3 linked regions of the Oryzias latipes genome follow. The protein of the gene in region 3 purifies or fractionates together with the protein of the main gene of each other region. This does not show direct contact. Links are inferred from orthologs where the notes say so. Each region holds a gene or a part of one and is shown on either strand. Other genes may lie near its edges. The genes, in order: ss18, bcl7a and smarcc1.

What was found.
Region 1: the proteins of smarcc1 (region 3) and ss18 purify together in Homo sapiens (affinity purification with mass spectrometry; 4 studies listed by BioGRID and IntAct, counting the BioPlex papers as one, with this or other methods). This does not show direct contact. The link is inferred for Oryzias latipes from reciprocal best matches to the Homo sapiens genes SMARCC1 and SS18.
Region 2: the proteins of smarcc1 (region 3) and bcl7a purify together in Homo sapiens (affinity purification with mass spectrometry; 4 studies listed by BioGRID and IntAct, counting the BioPlex papers as one, with this or other methods). This does not show direct contact. The link is inferred for Oryzias latipes from reciprocal best matches to the Homo sapiens genes SMARCC1 and BCL7A.

What each region holds. Positions count from the first base shown.
Region 1 is NC_019875.2:25,752,053-25,755,701, forward strand, and holds part of ss18 (protein SSXT), read right to left. Parts: intron 1,467-3,649; coding exon 1,336-1,466; intron 915-1,335; coding exon of another isoform or gene 897-914; exon of another isoform or gene 852-896; intron 1-851. UniProt on the Homo sapiens protein: Appears to function synergistically with RBM14 as a transcriptional coactivator. Isoform 1 and isoform 2 function in nuclear receptor coactivation. Isoform 1 and isoform 2 function in general transcriptional coactivation.
Region 2 is NC_019870.2:1,211,962-1,216,374, forward strand, and holds the start of bcl7a (B-cell CLL/lymphoma 7 protein family member A), read right to left. Parts: upstream 2,827-4,413; 5' UTR 2,720-2,826; coding exon 2,628-2,719; intron 1,080-2,627; coding exon 829-1,079; intron 732-828; coding exon 582-731; intron 63-581; coding exon 1-62.
Region 3 is NC_019874.2:27,737,631-27,741,279, forward strand, and holds part of smarcc1 (SWI/SNF complex subunit SMARCC1), read right to left. Parts: intron 3,370-3,649; coding exon 3,332-3,369; intron 2,633-3,331; coding exon 2,511-2,632; intron 2,413-2,510; coding exon 2,341-2,412; intron 2,239-2,340; coding exon 2,125-2,238; intron 2,008-2,124; coding exon 1,854-2,007; intron 1,499-1,853; coding exon 1,388-1,498; intron 1,288-1,387; coding exon 1,228-1,287; intron 1,114-1,227; coding exon 855-1,113; intron 438-854; coding exon 276-437; intron 1-275. UniProt on the Homo sapiens protein: Involved in transcriptional activation and repression of select genes by chromatin remodeling (alteration of DNA-nucleosome topology).

The sequences.
Region 1 (3,649 bases), on a different chromosome or scaffold from region 3:
AACAAGAAAAAAAAAGAGGTATTTTTAGAAGATATCATTGAATGATTTTTAGGGGTGTAACAGTACACACAATTTTACAATTTAGTATCAATTTCCGTCAGGTCTTTGATTAAAAAAATAAAATTAAATCAGACTTTTCATAAAGTAAAGATGTTTTTGACTGTTGATCATCTTAGGTGCCTTAACTTTGCATTGTTTCCTTAAAAGTACTCTTAAACTACTTCCAGTCAACTCAAAAACAACTACGGTAGGAAAACCCTTACAATTAAAAATAAACATTCATGATTAACTTCAATCATTTGAAAAAGCTAGACAAAGCACTGCTGGTTTGTCCTTTTCATTAATGAAATCACAATATTTGAATTTTTGTCCCTGAAAATACTCAAAATCACAAAAGAATAGCTGAAAATTTTGTTTTGTAGAAATTTAAATTACTAAATGTTTAGATTGTGCAAAAACAAATGGGAACTAAATTGAGAGGCAAGATATTTGTTTGGCAGCACAGGCGCATCACCTGGAGCCCCAGTTTTGAGGAGATCACATGTACCGCTACACCCCAACAATCGCAGCTTCATCACAAGCACATTGTTCGTCGAGTGTTAAAGTTTGAGGAGACGTCTCACTACAGACTACGCATGCTTTTGTTTTGGGACCTCATTTCTGACAATTCGACCCCTGGTTAAAACAACAACAGTAGAGTTAAACAGAAATGGAAGAACTTAAAAAAGGTTGAATCAAAAAATAAAAAAAGAGAAGAAGAGGACAGATAGAAGAAACATTAGAAAATGCAAATTAACTCTAGGTGGTCAAGTGTCTAGATTGGACCCTGAGGTCTTCACAGCAACCATTACCTTTGCTTCTTACAGAGCTAGTCAGGGGTTCAAATCCCCGCTTCCTTATTTCCTCATGTGCCCCTGAATGTTCAAAGATAAAGATATCAACGTGTAGCTCTGGTCCCCACAGAAGACCATGGGAAATACAGGGCAGAAAACGGATTGCACTTTAAACAATGGAGCAAACTGACTCAAGTTTAAGGAAGAATCCTATTTAAAGCCCTGGTATTTCAAAGGAGGCACACCACATGAACCAGAAGAAATAACCAACACTACGGTTAACATTTCAAACACAGCAGCAGCATATACAATCTTCTGGAACAAACAGACTCAACCACCCAATAGGATGTTTGCATGCATAACACAACATGATTCTTGACTTTAAACTTCATTGTCTGTGGTTTCACTGAGAGCTAGAAAAGCATTTTTTCTGGCAATAAACTTGTTTAATTTGTAAGAAAATCGGAATTCCAAACAATCCGGTGACTGCTGCTATACTCACCTGGTCGTAACTGTACGGGCGCTGCTGCTGGCCCTGAGGGGGTCCGGGCTGGGGAGGACGGTAGCCCCCATACTGTTGGCCCTGCCCCTGCGGATAGTTAGGGTACTGTCCCGGAGCACTTTGGGAGGGGCCTAAAGTGAGCACAAACAGATGTAAGGTGGCGCTCTTAAAAGGACGGCTAACTGAAAAACCAACACATTCCATTTCTGATAAACCAAAAGTCTTAATTTTGTCAGTCTGAACCAAAGGACTAGTTGTTCAGCTAAAATAGGGGTCTAAACGTGACTTTTCCACCTCCGTTGTGGATCCCTGGTTAAAGAAAAACAACAAGCTTTTAATATAAGTGACTATAAAGTTAGAAGTAAACTTTATTCAACTCATTCACAGACAGTTGAAGGACAGTATGCATCACTCAGTGAGAAACCTGACTACAGTACCCATAATGCTCCAACAATAAAAGCAATTCGGACACCATGTTCACTACTTTCTTTTTGAAGCCTTATTCTTCTGAATGGTGAAGTGAGAAATTGACCCAAGTGACAATATATTAGGTTAGTATCTATAAAATGTGTGTAAGTATCCCTAAAGTTGTATCTTTTAACACTAACAAAAGAAAAAAAGCAATAAAAATAATTTTCAACAAATATTGACTTTATTTAGCCACAGAAACCCAGTTATAGTCTAAAAGAAAAAAGCTTAAAGTGCCTGAAATAAAAAAATCTATCAGTCCTTATTTAAAATAGAAACATTCTGACCAACTGAACCATTTGATGCTGAGAAAAATAATTTAGTCAATCAATAATATTAAATGTAAATTGATCTGAAACATTAACAGAGCAGCACCAATATATTTAACCTTTTTAGTCTGTAGAGATAGATAAAAACATTGTGCTGATGTTTTTCTAAATGATGGATTGTTTATTTATGATCTCATAAAGTGCAGCGGTTTTCCTGCATTACCTGCTGTCTTTATTTCAAATACTGACACCAACTAAACGACAGGCAGACAAAAAATACATTTATGAAAAATAAAGATGTCATCAAAATATCTATAACAGTTAATGAAGGATGACATTATTAGCATGAACTGAGTAATCTAAAAGCATGTGATGATCCTGGTGGTGCTAATCCAGGCAGTGCTTGCAGCTCTCCGCGTGCCCCATTTCACCTGGCAGCCTGAGCCTACTACCCCTCCCCTTTCGTTCTCACACACGCGTGTGACAGGAGACGGGAGCGCGCAGCTGCAGGGACGGGGATTCAAAAGTTTCAGGCTGTTACAAACTCTGTGTGTGATTTAACAGACAATAGGAACCGAATAGTGGCGCAGATTTTTTCCTCGCACTGAGCCGCTGTCGTCACCACCCCCATGTTAAATTTGCGCCCCGGACATTTGCCCGTATTACCTGTGCCTAAAACCGCCACTACCGCGCGCCCCTCCTGGCATCGCATCGGCGTGTCCCACTATTTGAGAAGCACTGCTTTATAGCAAGGATCAACCGACAGAAGAATATCAAATATTTGCCTAGGCTGCTTCTGAAACATGTTAGCAAGTTATGGATGCAACCAAATGAGTCACACTGAGGTCAGGGAGCAGTTACACATAAAAAAAAAAACAAGCTAAAGAAAATAAATATGTATATATGTATAAAGAGAGAGAGAGACCTATTTATAATCCAGCTCTGTACACAGGAGCCATCTTTGCCGATACTGTGAAGGACCGAGCAAACTAGACTTGGGTGGAAGTCAAATGAGGCCCACGCAGCATCGTTAGGCCCTCCTAATGCCTTATGCTGCTGTGCATAACCTTGTGGGAGCCTGAGAGAGCAGGCGTGTGTATGTGCCAGATGGATCTCACCTCACAGCCTCGGCATCTCAGCTGGCTCATTAATAACTACAGCTCTGGCTCACAAAGAGGGCAACTGACAGAAAGTTCTAGAGAAAACTGCCACAAAGAGAAATCCCTTAAGAGCTCCTGCAAGTAAACCCACACTTCAAATGATATCAGATCCTGATTAAATCATGTTTATTTCTATACTCTTTTTTTTGTTTTTTTTAAGTAAATGCTTAAACCCGGATAGCCTATTGACGCGTACAGGTGCAACAGGCTATCCAGGGCGATGGAGGATCGTAGAGAGGAGCGGCTGCGTCTTAAGGCGAGCACATGTGTGTCCTGAGGCCATCTTAAGGGATGTCATGAGAGCGGAATGTACGATTTCCCTGCGTGTTGGGAAGTGTACTGTCAAGTTTTTGTAAGGATAATGCAAGTTCCACACACTTAGAGCGACCTAACCCCGCACTCTAGTCTTCAGCAAGG
Region 2 (4,413 bases), on a different chromosome or scaffold from region 3:
CTGGCCGTCTCTCTTGGCGCCGTGCGCTCTCTCTGAGGTCTCTGACGAGGGCGTGGTCTTACCTGTGGGTCAGAGGTCACAGCTTGGATCAAACTGCAGTCCCTTTTGTGGTGCTTTACTGACACCCTGTGGTGAAATGAAGGAACTGCAACTTGTAACGAGATGTAAAGGTTCTCCGTCACATTGAAGCCCATCAGGACAACTATTGTTGTAATTTTAGGGTTTATAAATTGAATTGGTCGTATTTAAGGAATTCTGTGACAAATTGGGATAAAGGTTTGTCTTTTATTCCGTCAAAGTATTGGATTCGTTCAGTTTTGCTTCAATTAAATCTTAATTGGTCTTTCTGAAGATCGGCCATGATGAGGGCGCCGTTTTCACAACGCATCAGGGCGGGGCTTCACACAGAGCCTTTCTGATTGGCTCAGACTGTCTGACTTCATTTCCTCTCTGTGCTCTCAATCAGAGCCCGTCTGGAAAACACGGTTGACGGTTGAATTCCCTGAGGGCGGCGCTGAGGCTACAGCTGCGCCGAGGGGTCGCTGGCTCCAACCAGCTGCTGTTTGCATTTGACCTCTGACCTCTCTTGCTGTCCGGGCTCTGCTCGCTCTTGGTCTCGCTGTTCTCACGGAGCGTGGCGGCGTTGTTCTCGGGGGCGGGGCTTGTGCTACAGCTGTTTTCCTGCTTCACTGGGGACGAGTCTGCGATGGAGCTCTGGTTGCTGTTGTCGTCTGAAGGAGAAGCACGCTCAGCCTTTATTTACATTCATCAGAGAACGACCTGTTGTCATGTCCAGCTGTGACCTCAGGTGGGGGGGTGGGGCCTCACCGTGCATGTCCATCATCCCCGGAGACGAGCTGTTCTCCGGGGTCGTCACCTCTGAGCCGTACTTCTCATCTTTGCCCTTTTTCTTGTTTTTGTTTTTCTGAAAACGGAAAATAAGAATCATCCATTTTGAAGAGAAACCCCGGCTGACAGGTGTCAGAGGCGGACTCACGTCCTCAGATTTGGGCTCCGTCACCGGGACCCACTTGTAGATGCGGAGGGACGTGTCTCCCACCGTCACCCACTTCTTCTCCCTGAAGAGAGGAAACCATCAGGACAGGAAGCATCTCTGACTTTAAGGGGAAAACCTCATCATCCTGACAGAAGCGCCTTTCATTAAAAAACCAAAAATCACATCAAAAGAAGATTTTTTCCCCTTAATTATATCAATAATAAATCCTTTAAATATATATGTTAAAAGGGATTTATGTGAAAAATGCTATTTTCTCCTCTTTAAAAATCTTATTTTAAGATTTCAAACTGATTTTATTACTTTTATATTTTACAAAATACATTAATTATATTATTGATTAGTTACCGATCAGATGTATATATACAAAAATCTTAAACAGCTTTATTATTCATAAATGAATATGAAGTGTGTGTTGGAAAAAAATATTTTTCTATAATTTATAAAAACCAACAAAAAAGTTATAAAAATAATGTCACTAAATGATCAATATATTGATTATTGATCAGTATGATTCGATTATTTCCCTTGTTTTTCTAAATCACTACTTAAACCTTTAAAAAAGCTACATTTAGGTGTTAAGGTAAAATCCCTCTATCTAAATAAACAATTTTGGTATTAAAATTTCTCATATATAAGAAAAAAATGTAAACTGAAACAAATGTTTAATCCTTAAACTGATGTTAATAAAACTAAACAGAAGTTAAAATGTGTTTTAAAAATATTTTTTATTAGGAATGAATTGTTGCAATTTACAAACAAAATGTTTAACTTTTTTTAAATTTGGGGGAATAACTGACTGAAACTGTTTTGTTTACCCGCCTAAAGTTTCTGGTTCCGGTTTGTTTATTCCGTTTTATTTTCTTAACTTTAATCGAAAAAAATAAACTTCTGACTTTGACCTGGAGACGTTTGATTAATCCACCCAGACAGGCAGAAATTGAAAAAAATACCGCCCCCCGGCGGGGTCACGCGGCTGGATCCACGCTCCTCGTGTCCGGGTGATAACCGTATATGTGCGGCGGAGAAGCTGAAGGCGGTTAAAGGGTGATTTTCCGCGGCGAACCGGTCGCTCGGCGCCGCTGGCTGCGCGTTCAGCCATGCATCTCGGCGGACTTCCCTCTCCCAACCCCCACCGACCGAGCGCTGCTCCGTCGGACCCGAAGGGCGACTCCGAGCGCTGCCTTAAAACTCCTCGCGGGCCGAAGAGCCCGGACTCCGGAGCGTCATCGAACGGTCCCTCCGTCCGCGCCGGGTGTTCGTTTGGCCGGCGCCGCTCCGCTCGCGCTCCCGGCTCCGCAGCGAGCAGCAATGGCTTCATGTGACTGCATCGAAATGGCTTCTTCTGGGTTCAGCCCTAGCCGTTAAAAATCGGCGGAAAAACAGCGGCTATGCGACGAACCGGTTCCCGCCGAAGCCCGCCTCCGACCGGCGAAGACCGGTACGCCGGTGCGGACCGCTGCACCTGAGCCGCGGCGGGATCTGCCGTCCAGAAAACGTCGTTTTCTTTCAATTTCATCCGTCTCCGTCTCGCTTCTTCCCTCTCCTCCCCCAACAAGAGAGCCTTTCTGCTCCCGGGTAACGAAGCGCTCCTTTCCCGGCGTTTACTCACCATTTTCGTACTTTCTCGATGGCGGCCATGACCCTCTTGATGTCATCTTTGGCCCTGCTCCGGGTCTCCGCTCGGACCGACCTGCCCGACATTTCCGCGCTGCTAAAATATTTTTAAAGCTCGCCGGCAGTTCAGACACAATGCAAACAGTAGAGCGCACAGAGAGGCCAGTGCGCCTGCGCGGCTCCGGGGGAAGAGGGGGGGGGCGGCTGCGGCTGCGCGCTGAGCTCAGATCAGATCCTGCTGAGCGGCGGAACAAAGAAGCCGCAGCCGCCTCCGCTCTGCCCCCCAGGTCTGCCCCCAGAGCCGGTACAGGGTGTCCGCCGCGGCAGGAACACAGCTGTTCTGTTTTTACCCACTCACTTGTAAAAAAAATCGCCATAAAAAGAGAAAAAGTTTGACTCTTTGTCATTTTTGTTGGTATTTTACACAAAAAGAACAAAGCAGCTTTACCGCAGAGACATCAAAGGGCCGGAAACACCAACATGGAATTAGAGGGAGGCTTTCTGATTCAAACTAATGGAAGTTCAGAATCAGAAAGCCTTTATTATCATTGTTACACAAGAAACTTGTGACAACGAAATTCTGTTGCTCTTAGATATATGATCCATAAACATCTGAGCTCTTCATGCAGCCACACGGTGTCGTCTGGTCTGTTTACACACTTTCAAATCCAAACCGGTCTCCAGCGAGAGAGAGAAGATACTGCCTAACAGGTATCTACCAAATGTTCGGCTTAGCCGCTCAAATGAATCCAGGGTGTTGTCCACAAACAGATCTTTAAATCTTGTGTTGCCCTTCTTGTGCCACTCCTGAAAACCCCTGTCGTGAAGGGAGGGTATGAAAACACTTTGAGGCCATCACCACCAAAACACCATTTCTGCTAAATGTTTATTATTTTCAATGATTTTTTTTTTGGTAGACTTTTTTTCATTTAACATAATTTAAAATGTGCGGTTGCTATCCACGTTTAGCTTAGCCATGTTGGGTTCTGGTTGAAACTATCATGACTGTCACACTGTGACATATAGTGAAGTTACGCTTGTGACCCGAGGCTGTCAGTACTGACAAAACATGTCCATCATATTTGGACCAACCAGAGTTGCCTCGTTTATCACTGAGGATGCGTTTCATAATTGACCCATGAAAGGGTAAAATACTAAGTTCACACTGGGCAAGCAGGGAGGGGCTTCTTCTTCTTCTTTCCCCACTGTTTACTATATCTGCCACAGTTGGAAGAGGCTGGGTGTGAAATGTCAGTGGTGCAAATCTTGCCCAAGACTTTTTCTTTCACAGCTCCATTCTGATAAATCACAGAATTCCTGCTGGACGTAAACCACAATTATACATTTCTGCAGCTCCATGAGCTTTTTTTCAATGGTTGGCACTTCTGTGAATTCGAGAGGACACCATCCATTCGTCACTACCAAGTCCCTGCTTGGTCAAACTTTGACCTGGTTTACCTTGCAACGTGCGTTCAGTGCCCATGCGTTCTGTACGTAGAACCCAAAACGGTAGAACCTTCCATAGATGCGAGTTCTAAATGAAGCCCCAAACTTTGCATAAACTTTTCAGTGGAAGTGGCTGCAGGTCTGGAGGCAGAAGACCATGAGGAAAAAATAAGGCACATAAAAGGATTCCGGGGGTAAATGGCGTACACTTGTGTAGCGCTTTTCTACCTTCCTCGAAGGCGCAAGGCGATTTACAGTCACACACACAGTCACACACTGGTGGCAACTCCGCTGCCGAACTCTGGCGCCAACCTCCCACCAGAGGCAAGGTGGGG
Region 3 (3,649 bases):
CAGTTCTCCTTCAAATGGGATAGATATGAGATATCACCTTTGTCTGAGAGTCTCATTTTCCCTCACTTCTCTGAACGCCAGCATCTCCACACACAAACCACCTCCTCCAGTCAACATGTCGCCCTCAGGTGGAGCATTTGATATAAAAGTCAGAAGAAAAACCTCCAACCTGACCCACTTTAGGCGCCATCATACCCGTCTGATGTTTAAGAATAAACCTTATATAAAATGCCCTGCATAAGACATCAATGTAAGTCTGCTTTAATGCTGCTCACCAGTCTTTTCTGGCTCCTCGGGAGCAGTTCCAGCGATCCCGCTGCTCTCCAGGCCAAAGGTGGGGTCAACCTTTCCTGTACTCCTCGCCGCCTCCTGCACCTTCTTCACATGAGCTTCCACCAACTCTGCTGGAACCTCTTCACGAACGCGAGAAAACTCCTCTGCAAACGCAGCAAGGACATTTCCATATTAAAAAATAATAATAAAAATAAGCATCTTCACAGCTCGTTCAGGGCCGACGTCCACCATTAACAACACTGGCACGGAAAACAATACTTTGAAACAATTTCATCCTAAAACTAAAACAAGTTCAGTATTTATTTTTTAAATATGCTAATTAAATCTAAAAATCTAATTAATTAAAAACCTTGAGGATTTTTTCCCCTCTAATTTTGCAGTGGAACAGATTAAAAAAAATAAAATCTAGATTTGTATTGCTTTAGCGCTTACGTTTAAAAATGCCACAATTATTGCAGTCTCAATGTCTTAAGTAGCACTGATGCAGTAAAGTTAAACAGAACATGACATGAAATTCTAAATGTCCTTGCGTGTTTCCATAGTTTTTTTTTTTTTTTTACCTAAAGCTGCCTTGGCTGCAGCAGAGGCCACTCTGGGATCAACCACAGAGGCCAGGAACGCCACGGTGCTCATCACAGGGTTTCCAGACTGGCTGAAGGGTATGGGCTGATAAGCCAGCGGACCCAGAGACGCCTCTGTGTTCTCCAGGTAGGGATCTTCGATAGGCAGCCGCAGAAAGTGGAGGATACACTCGTCTTGGGTGCGTGAACCGACATGCTCAGATACTTTGTTCCAGTCGTCTTTGAACATCTCCAGGGCCTGTGATGAGTGAAAAATAAAGTCGCAACACAGAAGAAAAATAAAGACAAGTGCAGACAGACACACAATTGTGATCCACTGACAGAAGCCGATATCTAAACAAATAAGACTTGCCTCCAAGAGAAGAAGAGTCTCCTGCTCAGTCCAGTCTCTGGTGGCGATGCCTGCTTTAGACTGCAGAAAACCAAAGTTCAACATTGCCGTTTGTTTAAGGAATATGCATCTCCAATAGTTTCCATGCAGAACTCATGCAAATGTCAAACAGGACCTTTACCTTAGTGTTTTTCTTGCTGTAGAGGTCAGCACGAAGGCCAAAGTTCTGCAGGTCGATGGGTTTATCTTTGCTTTTATCTGCAAAATTAGGCATCGGCTGCTGAGGAGGAATCTGTTGGGAAAATATTACGACAATTATCAAGAGCTCTAAGGTATTAAAGCACTTTTTAAATAAAAATGTACTTTGGTTTTAAGCTGTTAATTTTTCTTTACTGAAAACAAGTGACTTCTTCATGAATGAAAGCTGATATATATATTTAAAACATTTTGTTGGTGATAATGTCAAACTCTGCCGGCATTTGGTGTTGACAATTCATAAGATATATAGCTTCGGTAATTATTTTCTCGCAGACAATGTTAAGAAGAAAATGTCTCAAGTTTTAAACTCGATTATTAATAAGTCGATATCATACATGTACTTCAAAGTAAAAGTGACTTTGCTCCCACCTAAACAGAGCTGTGCTTACCGTTGGCGGTCTGTGGTTAAGCGGCATGAGGCCGGACGGGGTGTCAGCCAGGACAGTGAAGTGAGGTGTGGGTGGGGGGCCCATGGGGAGCGGGCGGCTTTCAGAGTCCACCTGGTAGTTGACTAAACCCCACTGCTCCAGGAAGGCATGAACCCTAAAAACATCACAGGGAAATTCACAGATTCAATTTCTCTGATCATTTTTGTTCGTTTGTTTTTCAGGATTAAAACATGAGCATCAAAGAAGCAGAAAAGCCCTGAATCCTCTTCACCTCATGATGGCGCAGACATCTCCTGTCAGGTTCCTGCGGCAGGAAGTGGAGGTGAGGTACTCCTGGGGGTTCAGCCGATACGTGTCAATCATGAAGTTCCGGTACGCCAAATATCTGTCAACAAGTCGAGAAGAATCACATTATAGTGCGATTTAGAAAGTGTGATGTAGAAAAATGTATCTGACAGTGAGGCTGAGTCTGTAAATATAATCTCACATTTCTGGAGTTTTGGATTTGTTTTTCCCGTTAAAAAACTCAGGCAGGGCTCTTCGTTCAATCTCGTGGATGCTTAAGGAGAAAAAAAAAAGACTGTTTAATGCAACCGACAAACACACTCATCAGAAATGTTTAACACGTTTATTGGTAGCAGCATTTTTAGAGCGTACCTGTTGTAATCAAACCAAGCTCCGTAGCTCGGAATGATGATGTGATGAGTCTGTTCGGTCACATTATCCTCGTTGGCATCTGTCATTCGGTTCACTTCTCCTTTGTTTTGTTCCTCATCATCCTGCAAGAAAAACCTCAATTATAAGAAACTAAAAGACAAAATACGGCTGGCCTCAAAGGTTCTATTAAATCTGTGATCCAACAGAACAAAGTTTGATTTTGTTCAAACTAATTTCCCACGTGTTTCATAAAAGCTACAAACTCTTAAAAAAATCTTATGAAGCAAATGTTTGTATTTCAAGCACAATAAAATGTAATTTAGAATCAGGAATTTTATGTTTGACCATTAAATCAACATTTGTATTGTTCTTTAAAATGTTCTTTGTTTTTTAACTACCGGTAATAACTTTATATTTTAAAAGGAAAATATTTGAAACAAATTATCCTCAAATACTTCTCATTATGTTTTTCCCCCTTAAAGAAGTTAATATCAAAACCTTTTTCAGGACTTTGGGCTGTCAATAGACAATTATTAAAATTATTACATAAAGTTTCTAAATATCCTTAATGATACAGTAAACTTTGGTAGAAAATTAACAAGAGTGTCAAAGCCAAAGTGGATTTTTGTTTTACATTTATCCTTTATGATATAAAATAAACAGAAGTAATTTAAAAATTCAAAACACTTTACTTTAATGCTTAAATTTATAATTTGGCACTAATGTAGTAGTATGTGTCTAATTTTAAAGTAATAGATTTTTGTGCATTGGCCTTACCTTCACTTATAGTCTGTTTGTATAAAATCTTTGAATTTTCTTACCTTTCCACCAGACATTACAGAGTCATCCTCCATGTCATCTAACAAAACCCAGAAAAACAATGATCAGGTGACGCAGTCAACCCAATTAAAGCAGATTTCAGCTTTGGACTGAAATGTGTTTCTACGCATTTCAATTGGTTAAGACAAACATTCCTAAAAAAATAATAGGAAAGTACGTCTTCGTTGCTTTGAAAAACTTTTTTCTATACTAAAGGTTTCACACGTCTACAAACATTTGAGATGGTTTTACATTTGTCACACTGTAAAGGGTCTGTATGGACAAAGCATGCGGCTGCGTTTGATGTGTAGCTAAAATAT